Linked DNA regions of Bombyx mori. The protein of the gene in region 1 binds, or shares a complex with, the protein of each later gene. Links are inferred from orthologs where the notes say so. Each region holds a gene or a part of one and is shown on either strand. Other genes may lie near its edges.

Evidence for each region. The genes of interacting proteins can lie anywhere in the genome.
Region 2: RNA-binding protein spenito (region 1) and N6-adenosine-methyltransferase non-catalytic subunit share a complex: the UniProt entries of both Drosophila melanogaster proteins name them as parts of the WMM complex. The link is inferred for Bombyx mori from reciprocal best matches to the Drosophila melanogaster genes nito and Mettl14.

Annotation. Positions count from the first base shown.
Region 1 is NC_085125.1:10,170,316-10,181,971, reverse strand, and holds RNA-binding protein spenito, read right to left. Parts: upstream 6,202-11,656; coding exon 3,955-6,201; 3' UTR 469-3,954; downstream 1-468. Other genes in the region: peroxisomal membrane protein 11B, read left to right, coding at 9,260-9,315, 9,407-9,522, 10,214-10,758. UniProt on the Drosophila melanogaster protein: RNA-binding protein that acts as an associated component of the WMM complex, a complex that mediates N6-methyladenosine (m6A) methylation of mRNAs. M6a modification plays a role in the efficiency of mRNA splicing and is required for sex determination.
Region 2 is NC_085109.1:13,098,157-13,109,069, reverse strand, and holds the end of N6-adenosine-methyltransferase non-catalytic subunit, read left to right. Parts: intron 1-4,311; coding exon 4,312-4,468; intron 4,469-5,258; coding exon 5,259-5,568; intron 5,569-6,114; coding exon 6,115-6,361; 3' UTR 6,362-8,102; downstream 8,103-10,913. UniProt on the Drosophila melanogaster protein: Non-catalytic component of the WMM complex, a complex that mediates N6-methyladenosine (m6A) methylation of mRNAs, a modification that plays a role in the efficiency of mRNA splicing and is required for sex determination.

The DNA.
Region 1 (11,656 bases):
GTTTCTGAGCAACATTTTGTAGGCCCGAATCGCGCTGTTCAGAAATTCTTGTGCTGCAGTAACTATAATGCCGAAAATGTTATGAATGTTCGCCGTTCAACGTCATAAATTGCAACTCGCGAATTCAAACTTTTACTGGTGGTAGGACTCACTCTTGTGAGTCCGCACGGGTAGGTACCGCCACCCTGCCTATTTCAGCCGTGAAGCAGTAGTGCGTTTCGGTTTGAAGGGTGGGGCAGCCATTGTAACTATACTAGAGACCTTAAAACTTATATCTCAAGGTGGGTGGCGCTTTACGTTGTAGATGTCTATGGGCTCCAGTAACCACTTAACACCAGGTGCGCTGTAAGCTCGTCCACCCATCTAAGCAAAAAAAAGCATTGATTCCAGAGTTGTTGGCCTCTTTTGTGGTATATAAGTACTATTGTTACACGCTGGGGTTCGGGATAAATAAATGTTCCACCAAAGTACAACTAAAAACTGTATTCAATACTTAGATCACTTAGAACACTTCACAAAAACTTTAAAATTCAAATTCGCTTCTGGTGATCCGTTCGCTGTTTCACTTAGAGTAGTTCCGATTACTGACTGCGATAGCCGATACCACATCCCTAGAATTATCGAGAATATTCTACACATTTCAAGTATTGTTTTTCCGCTACCTGACAACAGATAGCGTTGTACTTCTCAAACGTTCTAGGTGCTAGGTACTATATCTTTCGATATTCGTTCGACTATTCGGCGATAGATAACGTTACTCTTACCGGCGTAACACTATTATCAATACCACCTTCTTGCCGATTTCGGCCATGGGGAATTTACACATTCCGATTTAATTCACTATACACTATACAATTGAGTCTTCGATGTCGTGTCTTGGTGTAACAACAGCATTCAGGTTGATAGCAAACTAGATATCAATCTATGGGCTCCCGTAGCCACTTAACACCAAATGGACAAATTTCTATGAAATAAATAAATGAAAGATATTTTTTTCTTAACATATTATCTGGTTTAATATTATTTATGGCATTAAATAAGTAGGACAACGGTTACTCTTATGACTGTCTAGTTTCCATCTACAGCTTTAGTTTGCGTTATAAAGTGTAATTACTTTCTATCCTCTTATCTTCTATTATGGGGTGGAGATCCATATTCAACAGTAGTGTGAAAAGTATCCTATTATTTCCCAGGGTTCAAACCATTTCATTATTGAATTTAATAAAAATTCGGTGGTTTGGTCGTGAAAACGTAACAGACTAAAACAGTCGTAGTTTCATTGTTTGTTTATTGCTTAGACGAGTGAACGAGCTCACTAGATGTTCAGTGATTACCGGAGCCCAGACATGAACAACGCAAATTCCCCATCCACCAGGACACATGTTCTAAGTGTCATTTCCATAAAAAAGGGTCGCACCACCAACCATCAAAGCAAGAATAAAAGATAGTTAATTACCTATTAAATTAAATAACGTTTAGGTATCTTTTACTAAAAATGTGAATATTCTAAGTCTTCTGTGTTGTAAGTACTTAGAGTTTTAAAAATCCGTCTCGATATTTTACACTGTGAAGTCAATTTTAGATTTTTTTTCATTTGATCCTCAATGACATGTCTGGATTATAGGTAAGGTAAGGTTAAGGATTTTAGGTACCGTACGAGTAGATACCAGTAAGTTCCCATTTTGATCCGAGCAAAAGGTCACTTGTTTCAAAAACCAGATTCATTTGACTAATATTTAGGAAACAGCTTCGAAAAAAAAACTTAAAAAAATATGTCAAAATTGTAAGACTAACATACAAATAGATCTTTGCTCAGATAATATCATTTTCAAGTTTAAATTAAGTAATAAGCTTACTAACACATTCAAAGTAAATTGGTTAAGTTTGAAAGTGCATATTTAAAAAAGACAAATTATCAGATCACTGCAGCTTGCAACTTTTTATTAAAACTTTCGCTTAGCTACAAAAGAAATGGGTACCTACATTAAGTAAATTATTTTATGTAATCCGAGAAGGGGAACGCGAAGTTGTGTGAATTGTTTTATTTTGTCTATTTAGTGTTTCTTTAAGTTTAAATATGAAATAGAGGTGGTTTATGAAATGTTTAGTATTCGTGAAAGTGCACAAATGTGGAAGAATGAAAACAAGCCGCTTGACGTAGCTTCTCGGGATCTTCCAAAAAGTCCTCTGAAAAAGTCTCAGTAAATATATACAGTAAATATATAAATATTGACCATTTTACTGAGATTTTATATCTCATTACATCTAATCCCATTTAATTTCATTTCATGTCAATTGATTGTTTCAAATTAATCAAATTCATTTCATTTCGCTCTGTATCATTTTTCATAAAAAAGAATACACAAAAGATTAGACCGTATAGTATGATGCCTTTGCCTTTACAGTTGGAAAAACAGAATTATTTAATGTCATTTTCATCTGTGACCCCATCCAATCCCAAAGGTCATATGATCTTAGTAAACAAAATAGTTTTCGGTTCAAAATGATAAAATAATTTGTGAAGTTAAGTCGAAAAGTACAAAATTTTCATAAAACTATACATTATTAAATCAAAAACATAAAACTTAAAATTCGTAATTTTGGCTTTAAAGCTATGTTTATGTAAGAAATGTTTTAAAATTGTTAAAAATATAAATCGTGATTTTTTTATGAAACTCAATTACTCAACTCAAAAACTCAACATTAAAAATCAATGGATAGAAACCAACTTCGACTGGACCACCCCAGTGTCGCTATCACTGATGGAAATTATCGTACACTTTCGTATTAAGTTAGTTATGATTGTGCCCATTAACCTCGTCAGAGTTCGAATCTAGAATTTTCTAGATAGACCCATGTTTTATGTTCAATAATATTCAAATGTAAAGAAACACAAAAATTCATGGACAACTGTTGTTGAATTTGAATCAAGATTTTAACTTTATTTGTACTCTTTAAGAAAAGGTTGAATTGTTTCTTTACATTTTTGATCTCAATTTCCATCTTTAATTTAGGTAATGCAATAGTAATTATAATGATAATGATATTATAATATTAATGATAATAGTAATTTAGGTAATTTTCCTTTTTTTTCGTATTAATGAATCACATTTATATTACATTATACCTTAGCTCATTTAGTGCATGGGATTTTTTATTTTTTATGTACCATACAACTGTAAGCATTAAAAAAATTCTATAAAGTTCAGAATTGTAAAGAACTATTTTTAAAGTACACACAAATTACCAATACAGTGCCTACTGTGTTGTGTGAAATATATCTACAGACTTACCCAGTTTCAGTTTTATATTATAATATGAAACACGTCAAATCACAAACAATACTGAGTCAACATTTATATCACCATATTTGTAAATTGTAGAAAATTTGTCTTCAATTGACTCTAAATTTGGTAATTTTACTGTTAAAACCACAACACACCACTGACTTGTTGTTCCACTGTACATCCTTTTATAATCATTTTTTTGCAAATTAATGGACATACCAAAACATAAATTCACAATACTTTTTTTTTTGGAACACCTTAACATCACAAAACCACTAATGGATCAACTGCACTGGATATGTCACTTAATCACAAGGTTTAAAAAAACAACTTTCAAAATTAAAATAATCTATTTGTTTTGTTCACACACTACACATCACCTAAATCATACACTGAATATTATACACTTAACTTTAAAAAAGTAAGATAAACTTCTTTTAGTCGGATATCTAGCTGAACTAGCTTCTATACTGTACATTTTCATCAAAGTTAATTCTGATCACTGTGAGAACACAGCACTGCACAAATATTTAAACTTGCACATCTTATGCACCTCACATCACACACATCACAAGAATATAAAGTAAAAAGTGTAGAACAAAAAACTTAAATTAAGAGTATATACCTACAAATAACAATACAATATACTAAAGCAGTGTTTGAATAATTAAGCAGTGCCACCTCGTACTACTACTATAACTAGGTGATCTTCCTTAAAACTCTCTTCAGTTAAATTGTGACACGTTCTTTTGAGAAGGTCAGTTGAAAATTCACATGGAGGGAAAGAATAAAGAACTCCAGTAGCTTCAGTCTCTTTGTTCAAAAGTGATATCACACCTGCTGCTTCTTTTTGTTTAAGATATGATACCAAATTCCTCATTGGTCGTGTTTGTATCGAAACATCTTCATTGGTGACTACAGCAGTAGAACCAGACACACCCACAAAAATGGCATGAGAGCTAGATGTGGCAATACGTTTTTGAACATCATCTAACTTAGGTTGATCCAAACGTAATCTTTGTGTGATTCTGAGCTGTTTTCTACCATCTTCATCTTTCATGAGACTATCAATAATTTCAGAGTCACCGTCTGTTAAATGCAACTTAGTAGGAAACAATGAATTTTTGAGAATCAGTGCTCCATGCCAAATTGTAGTTGCTTTACGAACTAATTCTGCCATTGTTCGTGACGAAGATAGCATCCCACTACTTCTACGCATTGATCCATCAGAGTCACTATCAGGTGATCTACGACGAGATCGTGAGCGTGACCTATCGACTCCAGGCTCCCTTGATCCAGAACGACGCAAGCGACTCTCATATTCTGAATCTAATGGAGCACGTCTCCATTCTTCGTCACGATAATCTCCTGTACCATGATAGACACCTCTGTAGGAGCCACGTCCACGGCCACGATGCCCACCTCTACCCCTATAAGTACCATAGCTATAACCATCCTCCCAAGAACTACCTTCATATCCCTCATATCCTTCAACAGGCCTACCATCTTCACCAACAGGTGCACTGTAAGGTTTAGGTCTATAGGGTCCACCTGTTCCAACGTCTGCGAAATCAATACGCAAACGTCGCTCCGGTCCCCCTAAAGGAAAGCCCCGCATTTCTTTGACAGCAGCTTGGGCTGCATCAATAGAGTCATATAAAATATAGGCATGAGGTTCACCCTTCACATATTCAATCTTTTTAATGGCACCAAACCTATCAAATTCTCTCTCTAACTGTGCTACTGAAGTCCATGGTCCCAGGCCACCCACCCAGACACGTGTTGTGGGTGTAGCTTTGCCATAACCTATTTTACATTGAAATTTGCCAATGTATTGGCCTGATAATTCAACTTTGGCTCTGTGTGCCATGTCCAAAGTTTGATAACGAACAAATGCAAAAGCATTTCCAGTACCTGGAGGAGGTCTTTTAATGTCAATGTCCTCTACTATACCATAGCGTCCAAAAATTCGGCGTAACTCTTCATCAGAAATGTTTATTTCTAAATTACCAGCGAAAAGAGTTCTTGTAGCTAATGGATCATCTTCAGGTTGAACATGGTGTAGGTAATTTGGAAATTTATCTTTTTTGTTCTCAATTTTCTCAAATGGAGGATGGTGAGGCCGGGGCATGTATGGACGTGGCATATAATGGGGATGTGGAGGGTGATGCATAGGTGGTCTGTGATGCATTGGAGGCCCATGAGGACCTGCCATGGGATACTCATGCATAGGAGGGCGGAAATCTCTATGGTGAGGTGGCACTGTAGGAGGGATACCATAGGCTCTCTCATCAGGAGGGGGACGACGTCTCTCTGGTACAGGAGACCAAGCGTATGAATAAGGGCGATCATAGTCAGGAGGAGTTATACTACGAGGCCTCGGTCTGTACTCAGAACGTACAGGTTCATAAACAGGATCAACAATAGCAACTTTATCATACAGTATTATCCTAGGCTTGGCATGTTTAGCGTCTCTCGCATCCTCTGCACTTCGGAAGCAGATGTAGGCTACTCTCTCATCCAACTCATGGGATATTTTTATACTAAAGTCACCATACTTCTTATATTCTCTATACAAAGTATCCTTGACAATCTCATCCGACGCTTTAGGGTGTAAAGCACTAACACATAGTACTTTGTAGTAGCTGCGGACAGATTCATCTCGAGCATCACGAGAACGCACGTAATCATCGCGATGAGGTGACACATATCGACCGCGCGGGCTAGGGGAGCGTACTCGACGTCGTACTCGTTCCGGGCTTCCACGCTCGTCAGAGCTATCGTCATACCTACCAATACTGCTGCGTGTCCGTTTTGATCGCGGCATACTATCACGCGACGAACTTCGCTTCATATTGCGAATTTTCACCGTAATTCGATCTCTATCTCTATCGCTACGCGGTAATCCAATCATGAAAGCTCACTTCGACGAACTACTATCTGAAATACACATCACAATATTACACGTCACTGTAAATTAGTTTTGGTCGATACAATAAAGTAACCCACTGATGCACTATTCTTACCCCAAACGAATTACAAACACTAATCACTCAGCAGATCACTGAAAACCTCAATCTTGGACGAACTAATTCGTATTATTAAGTAGACAATTATTTTAAAATAATCACGTTCACTTCAACTTTATTTAATGTAAATTTGAAATTAGAAGCGCTGATAAGCATCAAGAATATCGACCATTACATGGGAATCTCACAAAATGGCAGTTTGGCTGAGGGTTGCCAAATGTGATTTCTGAATTTCTTGTACATATTTCCCCAAATTATTTTGCCGTTTCTTCTGAGTTGTATTATGTACGATAGGTACGCTGTTTCGGTTCTGTAACCAGCTTTACGGGTAGCGGATTTTGTCCGATAAGTGTTTTTTGGGTCTTCATCGAGTTGATCTTAAAACCAACTTTGGCGCTTCCAACTATATATCGTCCAGTTTGGATTGCATGCAGACAACTTCATGATTAAAAAAACATTAGTCATCAGCATGGTCTAGACCATCCAATTCTTTGGACAACCCCCACATAACAAGTCACATCCATGCTACTGTCGAAATTGCTATGATTTAATTAACTAATTGTTGTAATATGGACTGCTAAACTGAATACTTAATAGAGAAAATTACTGATCTGTATCCCAAGAGAAGTAAAGCTACCTATGATCTGGACTTTTTGGCGGGAACGCGAGAAGTGAAGTTGTGTGCTTTGTTTTATTTAATAGTGTTTCTTAGGTTTGAATGTGTAATAACGTGGTTTATTAACTATTTAGTATCTGTGAAAGTGCACAAATGGGAAAATGAAACAAAGCCACTGAACGTAACTTCTCGGGATCTTCCAAAAAGTTCACTGAAAAAGTCTCAGCAAATGACCCCTATTTTACTGAGATTATACTTCATTCCATATCATCTTATCTCATTTCATTTCATTTCGTTTTCATTTCATGCCATGTATAATAATAATCAACTTCATTTCATTTCATAATATCATTTTTCATTAAAAAAGCTGTCATTAAAATTAAAAAAAGACATGACCAAAAAGTCTTAGTTACCAGATCATAAAATCACTTTAAAAAAATGCTACCAGTGTAGTACCGTAAAATGGGGCGATTAGGGACAAATTCCAACTTTATGAGCAATTTTATGGTAGTTGTTGATGTATATAATGCTATATCAGGATCAAAATGATTGAGTCTTGGGGGCATCTTTGTTGTCTAATTTAAAATTATGCAACTAGCATTCCAGTTTAAGCAAAAAATGCAAAAATAGGTCTAATCCCTATTTACCCGAAAATTGCGGTTAATTGGGACGAAATGAGAAATTTGCTAGGGTTGGCACTACTTTTATTTTTATATATAGTTTTAATTTATTTATTTATTTAGTTGCACCAACAAAGTGATCAATAAAAAAAATTGAAAAACTGACAAAAGTACATGGCAGACATCACCTCAATTATAGGTGCAATCGACAGTGCTGATATTTCTATCTGGGTTAAGAGATTAGGTGTGTCGGTTATTCCATGGATTAATCAGATGAATACCCCCACTCTGAACAAATATTAAATATTTTATTATGTATTACTTAGACATTTTTGTCCACCTTGAGATTTCATTGATCTTGTTACATGTCTCTGCAAAATCGACTTACTTATATTAAATTGCTTATCTATTTCAACTAAAGATTTATTCCCAATTTCGCTTCGATAAACCAGATTTTTACCAACAAATTTAAAAAATATTGTTATAACTACATAGACAACCCTACAAATCTGTACCTATTTATACTTAGGTCGTTTCCATTTCACGTATTCTCATCCCAATTGACCTCTTTTTCGTTGTTATTTGTACCTAAGACGTCCCCAATATCCCCAAAAACAACAGATTTTTACATGTATTTTTATTTAATCAAATACATTAAAACCAATAACAACTGAGACTTACCTTTAATATATATGCTGGTTCAAACACTAAATAACGTTTATAAATCATAGTCGTCTTCTATTATTATCAAATAAATAAAAGAGAGCAAAGTTTCTAGCACTAAAATAATTACCACCACAGGAAGTTAATTTGAAACGCGATTTTTTATAAGTTAGCAGCTATTATCATGCATATTCAGAGTTGTTTTGTGAACTTTCAACATTCTACTATTAAACTACAAAAAAATGGAAGATTTTGCAACGAATATAAAACTTATATTGAGCGTCGAAAGATTTTCCCGGTTTTTTCCCGATTCGCCTTTCAATCCCTAATCGCCCCATTTTACCGGTACTTTTTGGCGGGAACGCGAGGAGTGAAGTTGTGTGAATAGTTTTATTTTGTCTATTTAGTGTTTCTGCAGGTTTAAATGTGTAATAACGGTGGTTTATTAACTGTTTAATATCTGTGAAAGTGCACAAATGTGGGAAAGTGGAACAAAGCCGCTGGACGTAACTTGTCGGGATCCTCCAAAAAGTCCTCTGAAAAAATCTCACTAAATGACCATCATTTTACTGAGATTGTAATTCATCTCTTATCATCTCATCTCATTTCATTTAATTTCATCCCAGTTGATTAATGTCTCAAATTAATCCTCTTCGTTTCATTTCATTTCACTCCATTTTATCATTTTTCATAAAAATAAGAATTTATTAAATTAAAATAAGAAACGACCTAAAAGTCTTAGTTACCGGGTCATAAAATCCCTTAAAAAAGCTACCAGTGTATGTAGATAAACATTCTATTTTTTTGCTAAGTAAGTAAGACTGTAAGTAAGTTGTAAGACTTAAGTAATCTTAAAGGCATATGCCATTTATATTAAGTAATGAAAACGCAACTCTATGTTACAGTTTCCAAAAAACGATCCACATTAACATACGAGCAAGTTACTACAAGTATGTACTAAGAACGCTCTTGGCGTAGCGTTTACATTTTATTTGCGTTTCACTTGATTTGACCCTACTCCACAAAGTCCATGACGAAATCGCAATGGATATAATTATAAAAGTAAATAATCAATCCATTGGAAGAGACAAATTGGCAAGGTAAACTTCATAGACAGAAGAGGTTTATTTATACAAACTGGCTTTTATTAATCTCTACTCTACTAATAATAGATTTATTTGTCTTGTCTAGATTTATTCAATATATTAGCAAGCTTGTATGGCATCAATTGGAGACCAGGAATGCTAATAAATACTCCATAGATAGAATAAAAAATTTGGAAAATGCATTTAGTTCATTTAGAAAGAGTAAGTAAATACTATTTGTACCATTCGTAAGACTTACAATCCAACTACAAACGAACACTGGGATGTTATTATTTTATTTATTAGAGCATAATACAAAATACTATTGACCGGTAAACAATATTACACAATTCTTGGAACCTTAAAGAACAATTTGGGTACTTTAAATTTGAGAAATTGTTTTGAGTTGATCCGGTGATCTCCATGATACCATCATACCCCTACCAAACTCATTTCTACTTCTCGGAACAACTGTGTGCCCGCTTTCTAGAAAAATATATTTTATTAGGTCAAATCGATCTGGAATAAACTTTCCTATATGATGTTTAAGGACATGCTCTTCTTCAAATTTAGTTTGAAAAACATCACTGTAGGCATCCACTTGGCTGTGACCCTGGCATTGCTGATGTTCATGAGTGATGGTGTCTAATCACCATCAGTTCACCCTTGTGTCACTTACCTTAAAGTTATTAAAAAAAAATATGAAAATTTATTAAACCAAAGGGAAATGGGGTGACTGAAATCAGCACTGTTTGATGCATTCATTTTGAACAGCATTAGCTGAACCACCTCCTTTTGTCTTTTTCTTTTCTTTTATTTATCTACTTTTATTAGTCTTAAATCTGTGTGAAAGGCAATAAATGCTTTTATTATTATTATTAAATGTTAAAATGTGGATATAATAACTTTTCAGTTCTGAGGTTGGGCAGATGCATAGACGTTTGCTACATTGCTTTAGACAGCATGAGCATAGAAGATCCATTTTTAAGATTAACAATAACAGTTAGCAAGTTATCACATAGTTTATTTTTGTATGCAGACCACATAGTATGGTTGGCCAAAAGTGGATTTCTAAAAACAGACTCAGACACTTGGAATCAAACTGCAAATAAATTCTGGTTACTGTCTATTATTGCAAATTTAGCACGAGACTTTTATGAAATACTCCATTTGTTACAACTACACAATTCAAAATTTCTAAGGCCTTCTGATTTATTAAATCTATCAGTACATAAATTTGATCTAATGTCTACTTTGAAACACATTCATGTGTTATTACTTTGTCATAGAGATATATTTGTTGATACATTGAAGAATGCATGTGACTTGTTCATACCCTTAACAGCTCTTGGGTTTATAAAATTGAGTCCAAGTGCGATTGGCACTTTAGGTGCTATCTCTTCCATTGCTGCTTTGATAACTCTAGTTCAACCTATATCTAAATTGGTACCATCATAATGGCATAAAATAAGTGACAAATTACAGATTTAACTGTATTGTTTGTTAAATTTTTGAATGAACAAAATCAAGTCTTGTCACGATGTTTCAGTGAACATGAGAAATGCTATAAAATACAATATCATATATATGATTCATCATCATTCACGAATAAATTAGTTACATAATAATAATAATTTTAATGCACTGAGTGTTTACCATGAGTAGATACTCTGACATCCATTTGGCGAATTCTTTGATCAGTGATACACAACTTTTTTATTGCAGTACACTTAACTATTTCCAAATTTGCCATAATTCAAATATAATAAAGGTTTAAAAGTTGTATTCTGACTACTTTCTCAAATAGTGATAATAATTTTGAATGAAAAATAAAAAGTACAAAATAATATATGTATGGGGATTTATTCAAAGTTATTAATAGAAATTATTTTTGTTGAGGAATACATGATGCATACAGTGGATGAGAATCAGTTTTTAATTGTTGAAGTATATAAAGTTTTTTCATTCTCAATTTTGCAAGCAAAATTAAATGTGTAAAAAATATTTTTGCTGTCTTACAGTATACATATTTCCATGTAATAATTTTAATCATATATAAGGCTGTAGTGAGTGACTTTGTGAATACTGGTATTGGTGTAGGAAAATTATATTTTATTTTGTACATAAGGTACTAAAGGGATTTAAAAAATATATAAATTATTTACATTAAAGTTTTTGATTTTGTAATTTTCATTAATGTTGTATTCTACCTGAACGAGTACTGTTGAGTTAGGTAATGACTTCACTAGATTGATTTTGGTTCTGCAGCATACTTGATGCTAAGTTGTGGCTAGAGCCTGTATACCTACACTACAAGATCAAAAGCGCAAACCACCTGGAGATATGAATTTGGAGG
Region 2 (10,913 bases), on another chromosome or scaffold:
ATTACTTTGTGTACAGAATTTGTGCGGTAATAATATTTAATGCGGTAATATTTAACTCATCTTATTTGATTCACATTTTAGGTCAAATAAGTAAGAAAAGCTTTGATGAAAACCATCAGTGTGCTTAGTGCGAGTTTTGTAACGCTCTCGATAGCGAGCCAGTTTGCTCAAATTTGTATGCAATTGGAACAGCGCCCCTAGCGGCAAACGTACCCGGTGTTATTTTGTGAGTGCGAGTTCATATTAACGTTGTGATCTCGTAACCGAGTAATTTTATCGAAATTAGTACCACGAATGACATTTGTGCGAGTGCGTGTTACAAATTAGTGGGTTTTAACGTTTCGATCGAGTATTTCTTTAGTAGTTCTATTTTTCCAACTAATGAGGCAAAAGTATCATGCCATAAAGCCTAATCTTTTTTATGAAAAATGATAATATGGAGTGAAATGGATTTGATTAATTTGAAGCATTAATCAATTGGCATGGAATGAAATGAAATGAGATCAGATAATATGGGATAAAATATAATCTCTGCAAAATGCTGATTATATACTGAGATTTTTTTCAGTGGACCTTTTCGAAGACTTCGAGAAGCTACGTCCAGCGGTTTTGTTAATTTTTTTAAAATTTTTGCTCTTTCACAGATACTATACAGTTAATAAACCCACGTTACTTTGTTATTGCATAGATGGGTGGACGAGCTCCCGGCCCACCTAATCTTAAGTGGTTACCGGAGCCCATAGACATCTACAACGCAAATGCCGCCTCCCACCTTGAGATATTAGTTCTAAGGTCTCAGTATAGTTACAACGGTTGTCCCACCCTTCAAACCGAAACGCATTACTGCTTCACGGCAAAAATAGGCAGGGTGGTGATACTTACCCGTGCGGACTCACAAGACGTCCTACCACCAGTAATTACGCAAATTAATTTTGCGGGTTTGATTTTTATTACATGATGCTATTCCTTTACAGTGAAAGTCAATCGTAAACATTTGATAAGTACGTATTTCATTAGAAAAATTGATACCCGCCGGCGGGATTAGAACACCGGTGCATTGCAAGATACGAATACACCGGACGCCTTAACCTTTAGGCCAGGACGGTCTCAAAATTACACTTATACACGAAGAAATATTAAATACGCATAAACTAAGAAACATTAAATAGACAAAATAAAACAATTCACACAATTTAGCTCCTCGCGGTCCCTCCAAAATGTCTTTTCATCTTTTTTTCCTAGTTGTTCAATTGTAAATGAATAAATCAAAATCAAATCGAGTTTACGTTCTATACGGTGAAAAATGAAGAATTGTGAGTGTGAGTTGAGATATGCTACTCGCTTCGCAGGGCGTTTATTCACCGAGAGCAGCAATAATATTATTGCTCGTATATTGGTAGCACGTGATGTTTTGGCATTAGACCGTCTAAATGAAATACAACGCATTTTAACAGCATTTTAATGGGAACCAACTACTTTCAAAATTATTCGGGTAATGTCACGTGTTCAATACTATTTTGTACCTTTAGAATTAAAGTGGCTCAACCCAAAATTCTTAGTTTCTGGTAAACTTCAATATTGTAATACAATAATTGTATTTTTTTAGTTTTTCGGTTTAAACACTTTAAGGCATGCCATTTTATTTGAAAAAGACAGAAAGAGTACTTTGTCCTTTTCTAGACTAAAAGAGACTGTTTAATTTTATAAGCTGATAGAATAATATAGAAAAGAATAATAGGATACCCTCTAATCGTCACATTGGAAAAAGGTATGGCTTTATCATTTTATCATTTAAATTATTTTTTATTGCACTTATAAAACTAATTTAATTTACAATATGTAACTACATATATCTATAACTAATCCGTACTTGTCAAATTCCTCATAAATTGTCAATATTCTTAATAAAATTCTTATTAATAATATACAAGTGCAAATGTTGAGCTGCTTGCTAGAAATGATATAATAGTGTTTTGTTTTTTTGTTGTTTCCTTGTAGGCTGCCTGTAATAATCTGAATCTGTGTGAAAGGCAATAAATGATTTTATTATTATCTACTAATGGTAGTCCAGTGGTCGAAATTTGACCATAATTTATTTAAATTTTAAGTTTGAACATTATTATAGTTCTATTGTCACCTTTCTACTATCATCATTTCTATAATAATCATTGCTATATGTCGCCAAGGCTACATTATAGAAAAATAATATTAAAGACAAAAAATCTATTCTCAATTTGACCACAGATTGATAAATCAATAAACAAAAAAAGTATAAATGCATGTGTGTGTGTGTATGTCAAATACATGGTAATGTGTGTAAGGTTTTTTTATTCATTTAGTTTATTTTTTTATTGTTTATGCACAATTAAAAAAAAAAATATTAGCAATCTGCACTACTTCTCTATATTCTCTATAAGTGTGGGAAATTTCATACTTCTTCGTCCGCGCAATTTTCGTAAAAAGGAGTACAACATTTTTGCTTCACGTATTACCTACTTAAAATGTAGGTTCTTAATAATAATACATAAGTGTTTTGAAATATAAAACTAATCTTAAATTTTTTAGTTAAACCACTTCCATTCTAAGGGTGCAATTTCGTAAACAAACTTTGCCGTAATGGCGTAACCTTTAAAATACACGAAAACTGCCCAGCATAAAAATATTTTTTTAGTAACTTTAATAGAAGTATTAGAATTAGAAGTTTATTATAGAATTTATTTAATTGTAATTACATATTTAGACATACTTAACATAATTAATCTTGAAATAGGTAATTATTTCGGATTTTTTTAATTAAGAAATTATGTTTTACATAGGTTTAATCATTTACCCGTTGAACGTTTATAAAATGATTGTATTTACGGTAATAGTGTTGATGATCTTCATTAGGTAGCCTAAATATACTAAAATTATTACGAGCATCCATCCTTATTTATAAATGTGTAAAGAAGCAAAATGATTATTACATTGTTCAAATTTCTATATAATTTATAAATATAAATCTGTACGTATGTACCTGTAAATATGTATATGGCGCGCGCGTGTGTGTGTGTGTGTGTGCGCGTGTGTGTGTGCGCGTGTGTATGTGCGTGTGTGTATATATTTCTATAATAGATAGGTACACAGTGTGCAATTCATTTCGAAATTATTGTTGCCCATCTAATGGTTGTCTGGAAGAGATCACTCTTAGCGATAAGACCAAGAAAGAATGTTTCACAATATTTATTCATTTTGTGTACAATAAAGAATACTCTTTCACTGGTGGTAGGACCTCTTGGGAGTCCACACGGGTAGGTACCACCACCCCGCCTATTTCCGCCGTGAAGCAGTAATGCGTTTCGGTTCGAAGGGTGGGGTAGCCGTTGTAACTATACTGAGACCTTAGAACTTATATCTCGAGGTGGGTGGCGCATTTACGTTGTAGATGTCTATGGGCTCCAGTAACCACTTATCATCAGGTGGGCTGTGAGCTCGTCCATCCATCTAAGCAATAAAAAAAAAACAACTCTATCTCACTCTCTCTCTCTCATCAAACAACTCTTTAAAAAAAAGCAATGATTTAATAAGAATTAAATGAAAAAGCAAAGAATTAATATGTATTTACAGCTAGCTAGACGTCTATAAAATTTTCTAACCGAAAAAATATATGTGTATAAACCATTAGAATAGATAAAACCTTAAAAACAACATTATTATTAAAAACGAAAGAAAAAATCTTGATATTGTATTGGTTTCACGGCAAAAATTTTAGTGACTACTTAACTTGCTTGAAAGTGAAGAAATACTCTCAAAATCCATTAATTTGCAACTCGCACTCGCACATACAATAATCGAGAGGCTCACTTGGGTAAAGCTATTCGATACATGAGACAGCAACATTAACAAACCTTCTCTCTCCCACAAAATGAGATTCATAAGCTTACCACTAGGTGGCACTGATACAACCTCACACAAATTAAACATATCATTAACATCGACTGAGTAATTAAAAAAACTCGCACTAAGCACAGGTACATTACCCATTACCCGAATAATTATAAATATCGTTAGAAAGCTTGGCATTTCAATTAAACGCCTTAAAAAAACCCTTGCGTGCTACCAATATAAAAGAAAAAATTATCGCTTCTCAAGATGAATAAACGTCCTGCAAATCAAGTAACTCGCACTCAGAGCTCCGCACGTTTCACCGTGAAGAGCGTACACTCGATGCGAGTCATTCGATTCGATTTTTGAAACTCGCACTAAGCCTACAGTACTTAAAACAAAAAAAAAAACAATAGGAAATTAAAAAAATCAAAACCATTATTTCAGACTTTTGATCTAAAAGACATGGCTAACAAATTCGATGTAATTCTCGTGGAACCTCCTCTGGGCACTGGATGGAGATGGGAAGATGTCTTAGCTCTTGAGCTCCAGCAGATAGCACAGCCAAGATCTTTTGTATTCCTATGGTGTGGAAGCTCTGAAGGTATATTCTTCAAACCTAGAAAATTATTTGGTTGTGATTTGTATAACTAGTACATACTACACATTGAATACTGTATAAACTATTGTATGTATGTATGTATGTATGTATATATATGTATATTAATATTTGTATCTATGTGTGTATGTATATGTGTATGTATTTGTAACTCAATATAAATTTCATTGCACATATCACTATTTACTCTGCACCACCTTTGGTTGACTGGTAGAGTCAGAATGCCTTAGGCATTAGGTCCGCCAATGTAAATTTTACATGAAGTGTAATAAATAAATAAATAAATACATGCACATGGTGAAAACATAACTCACTTTTAATTTTACTTATTCATTTTACAAAAGTTATCCACATAAACTGTAATGAATTTGAAAGTATAACATTTTTAAAGTTTCTTAAAGATTTCTACAAGATAATTCACTCTTTGGGTGGGACATCAATTATTTCTCTGCCAAACAATGCACCAAACAGTGGTAAGGAGCGGCCAGGCTCTGCCCTTAGTATTACTGATCTCCACAAGTGATGGTGATCATACATCTCCAGTGTGCCGTACGCTTGTATACCTGCAAAGGCAATTAAAATTTGTAACATTATAATTTTTTTTTTATTGCCTTTGTAGGCAGAAGAGCATACGGCTCTGATGGTTATGACCTGATGGGTAGTGGTTACCGTCGCCCATAGACTTCAGCAATGCCAGGGGCAGAGACAAGCCGCTAAATGACTTTACTTTAATCTAAAAGATCAGTAATTCAGCTAATACCAAATCTTAATTCAGGTTTAGATATGGGCAGGGAATGCCTAAAGAAGTGGGGCTTTCGTCGTTGCGAAGACATCTGCTGGATCAAAACGAACATAAAGAATCCGGGGCATTCGAAAAACCTCGAGCACAACGCGGTCTTCCAGCGAACCAAGGAGCATTGTCTGATGGGCATCAAAGGCACTGTCCGGAGGTCGGTCGACGGAGACTTCATACACGCTAACGTGGATATCGACCTCATCATATCTGAAGACCCGGAGTTCGGCAGTACAGAGAAGCCTATTGAGATATTTCACATCATGGAACATTTCTGTTTGGGTCGAAGAAGGTAAATGTTGATCAGTATTACTTTAATATAAAATACTCATACATCAATAAGAGCTTAAATAGCATGTTCTTTGGTTTTCGCGTCACGTCAGCTCCGTCGTCTGCGACCACGAAAACTAAGGCATTTGAAACGTCGCTAATAATATGTATACTAACGACAACAAGTAATTTTAACTATTAATGACTATTAGTGACGTTGGAAAACATTTTGCATCAAATATGTAGCTCACATGTTTGTTTAGCCCACTGAGTATCTCGCCGGATATTCTCAGTGGGTCGCGTTTCCGATCCGGTGGTAGATTCTGCGAAGTACTGCTCTTGCTAGGGCCAGTGTTAGCAACACCCCCGGTTTGAGCCCCGTGAGCTCACCTACCTGCTAGGGTAACCCTGACATTATCAGCTGATTGCTGACGACGTGGCTGAGACGTGATTATAGGGTGATAATTATTAACAAGACACGACAGTTTGCAACCTGTCTGTTGTGCGACGACTCGACACAGACTGTCTAAGCTAAGCCCGCTACACATCTATATGTACACATTCTCAGGGTACACCTGTTCGGCAAGGACTCCACGATCCGTCCGGGCTGGGTGACGATCGGCCACGAGCTCACCAACTCCAACTTCAACGCGGAGCTGTACTCGTCGTACTTCGCCGAGGGCCGCGAGAGCACCGGCTGCACCGACAGGATCGAGGCCCTCAGGCCCAAGAGCCCCCCCAACACCAGCAAGGGCACCCGGGCCAGGGGCAGGGGCGGGTTTAGGGGCAGGGGGAGGGGCAGAGGGGCTATCTAACTAATCTAGATTGTGAATCGATTAAAACCTAGAGGTTTCACTTGTAATCTCGCATGTAAAACTTCCTACTCACACAGACATTAAGTAATAGAATGTTGAGAAAAACAACGGGTTTTAATAATGTTTTATATACAATACGATCACTCCATCAATCGTTTATATAAAATATTGGTTGGTGTTCCGTCCCGTAACAGCTTCTTCTACAATACATATTAGTCGACTATTATCAAAGCCGGCAATCTGACTTTTAGACAATTATTGGTAAATCAGAAAAACGAATTATTGACTTTGTATTCCATTGGCAGTCACAAAACTCTTCGGAACGACATCTTAGATAAATAACAGGTTAACTATTAACCTTTATTTAATGCAGGTTTTGAACCGTATTCTTTGAAGGAGACCATTTTATTCAAATCAATCTGTATTGACATATCAATAACATTTTTTTGTCCAAATGCACAGATTGCCACCTTTGATAATAGACGACTCATATACCTATTTATATAATTATTATTATTTTATTGTGAATAATTTCTTTTTTTTTCTGTGAGTACGTAATACGACACAATTTGATTTATATGCATTATTAAATTCTTATTTATTTTGTACTGGATCTGCGACATATTATTGTGTGGATCGGAATGCATCATTTCCCTGGGAAATGGTTCCTCGACACGACACTAGCGCCGCCACCTGCCTGTCTTTTAGACGTATAATCTGTGCTTTTAGTGCGGCAAAAAACTAAGCTTGCTACGCGAAGCTGCTGTCGCCGCGACGGCATGCATATAAATTTAAAATAGTGTGTAAAGGTTCCCCTTTCACAAAAAAAAGAAGAATTGCTGGAAATTAAGAATGGCTGGACTGATTCTGCAGGCAATACTCATCCTCGACCAAAACCCTCGGACGTGGTTGTGGGACGGTTTACGGTTAGTCGTCAGACCTAGGCCATGTCCTAATCAATTAGTATTTTAAATCACTAAATATAGTTCAATAATTGTAACTTTTTTCATGTCATATGTGTCTGTATTTAATCTCTAATGAGAGTTGTCCGATGAAATATTAGGAATGTTTAATCTGTAATGAGAGTTGTCCGGTGAAATATTGTGTTTATTATTGTGGCAACATCTTACGTATTGTTAGTCTGCCTTATTTATTGATTCGATAAAAATAAATCGCGGTTAATGCTATGTACCGGAGCACTGACGAACAACCTGAAGTTGACATCTTGTTTTTTTTTGTGAATTGATGCGCAAGTGTAATATTGTTATAAGAGCCTCTTCTACAGATATCGGATTAATAGATATCAGTTACTGGTCATGTAGGTATCTAATTCACAAATTTACCAACGATTTCGTTATGAGAAAAAATGTGAGGTTACTTGGATACCATTTCAAGCATGACATTGTAAACATTAAGTTAAATTGGACTCTTGAAAAATTCAGAGGGAAATAAAAAAATTAGAATTTTATAAAACTCATCATACCATGAATATAATAATGATTAATGTAAGATATGAGGAAATTAAAATCTGACAAGTTCGGGTGCTGTAGCTACCACCTTTTTGATACACAATAATATGTAAAATCAAATGTTCTTTAAAAGACATTTATTTCACATTTTTATTGTATCTGACATCCGTTTTATATTTCAAGACTTAGAAATTTATGAAAATATTCATCTAATGTAAACATTTACGTATTATTTTAAATAATAATGAAATAAAAAATAAATAATTTAATAATTGTTTTTTTTCATTATCTGCCTACGACAAACTCTTGATCCTCAAACTAGTAACTTCTTAACCTAGACTCCGTTAAAATTGTAATTAAAAAAGACAGAAGTTATCAGCGTGTAGTATTGCAAAGCGGCTTCCACTGTTTTAGATTAGAATTTAAACTGCTGTTTCGTTCCCGCGTCTTTGGTTTTTTTTAACACTAAACACGCCACAACGTCTCAAATGACTCATTTTGAACTTTTGCATTGAAATGCACGTATCATCATTAATGCTTTTGCACATTTGACTTCTAGACTTTTTCTTACCAATAATAATTAATCTAGTTATTGTTGGGACTTCCGTTTCCTTATTTCTTCCTCGATCTGCTATCCACGCCATCTGTTGACACTATAAAAAGAACTACGACTGTGAAAAACGGCGCGAAGTGTGTGAAAAAAAATCCTAAAAACATGGCGCCGGTGCAAAAACGATAAAATTGTGTTTTTTGTTTATCAATCAGCACATATAAGTCTCGCCAGTGAGAAAATAGAAAATTCCATCAACGAACTACGGAGTAAGTCCTAAAACTTATCCTTTTCTCAGTCCTAAACATAAATTCAAAACAGTTATTAATCTACTTTTTTCGTTTTGTTTTGTTTATTGCTATTTAATTACGTAGTAATACTTGTCGTTTACCGTCGTCGACCCGCTGTGGTAGAAATAGGTAAGTGTTGATATGATTAAGCGTTAAAACAATCCTCCAACCATATCCTATTAAACACTAGAGCTGATGTATTTTTAAAACTGTATAGAATTCACTATGAAAATAAAAGATATACCTATGATATTTTACACAAAGCTTCTACAAAATACCATATTCACAATAATAATGTATTTTTTCAGTACAAAACCGACCGGATAACACAGATTTTTGATAACCTGTAAAATAAATGCGATGTATTTACACCGATAGAAATCAATAAAATGTATTTTTAATAGTTTAACTTTATGTAGGTACACTTAATTTTGTACCTTAGTAGGTATTACGATTTTACAAAACACACTAATAGCTTTCGCTAATTTCATGTTCGTAAAATTTATTCTTGAATAAAAATTGATGTTGGGCAATTTTTTTCAGCCAATTCCATGCAGTCGCCTCTAAACATCTAAAGACACTGTTTTATTCTCTCGATTTATTAGAAAAGAATTTCGGGGGATGGACTCATTCTTGGTATTAGAAAATATATTCTAGATTTTATCAAAAGACCGTAGCTGAAATTAATTGACTGTATATACATAGACTAGTAATTCTGGTAAAAATAATAATTTCAACAATTTTGATTAAAAATTTTAGTAAGCTACATTTCTATTTCTCCTCTATTTCAATTTGCTTACCATCGACTGGATACTTTTAAAAAATTACTGTATATACGACAACTAAGCTTTTGCCCGCGACTTCGTTCGCATGGAATAGTTTTGGAGCCTTTGGGATAACGCAAAATTTTACCCGCGACTTAATTTACCTACGTAAAAGGTGAAAATATTTTTGAATAATAGTTAAGAGGAATTGTAAATAAAACAAACAAATTATATACATCAATATATTTTACATTGTTGTCTTTAAATCAACTCGACTATTCCGAAGTTCCTCAAAATATAAAAAAGACAAAACAAAAAATAAGACATATGAGATCTTTTACTTACTAATAAGAAAAATTTACATTTTATTAATTGCGGAACTAAGAACATCAGAATCTTATTATTCAATCTAAAAACATTATTGCGGAGAGGGCTTTACTGAAGTCGTGCGTTAATTCGTTAAAAATTAAATGCTACCAAAACCATCGATAAAAATGTTCATCGCATCATATTGGCAACATTAACTAGCACGTGCAACATCATATTTCATCAAAACAACACCAACAAAAAAATTATTTAAAAATATCGACAAATAGAGATGTGGCAACGTCAAGACATCAAGCGAACTATCGACTACTAAAGCCCTTTCGCGTATCGGATATTCAATTGACAGCAGTTTTTTTTCTTTTCTTTCAAATCTTCACTGAGCTTATAACATCGCACATTGATAATGTAATCCTTAATATATTACATAATTCACTTTGCTATCATTATACAAGGCATTTTTTTTTTCATACTCGCCGGGGACACAGAGCTTGTCAAAAGATGTGAGGCTGTGAACAGACAGTTAGTTGCGCTAAGTTGACAATGGAGAATGTAAATAACGTACATTATGTAAGTTAATTTACAAATACAGGACTCAATCACGCCTTAATTTCTCATTTCAATACTTGAGGATCTTGAGGCCCTTAAGGTCGATAGTGAAACGCCGCGGCATCTCAGCTATTCGATCATTGCTTCAAGGGGAACTTTTTGTGAATTTCGACGCGATCTTATCGCTTTCTATTTGTAAATCAATCGTTCGAAACGCGAAACAAATACGTAATTTAGTACAAATTCTGCGTCCGAACCGTGCAGTGACATCCTTTAGGTATAATCGTCATAAGATCACATTTTTTTATAAGGCAAACAACAATATTTAAAGCTACAACTTTGATGAGTGGTGCCGCATCACTAGCCGCGACGAGGCGCGCTGGTAGTACCGTTGCTAGGCAACCAAACAACTTTCGTTTTTTTATTAGCAAATGGCAAACGAGGAAGCGGTTTAAAGTCCTTTGCCCATGCCATCAATGTAAGATAGCGTAGCTAACGGCTGTCAGCCGTGAGCACTCAAACACACTTCCGCTATGTATATTTGACTTTCGCAACTAAACATGTACCTACTGGTACTTGATCTATTTCGATGAGGTTCGAGTTATT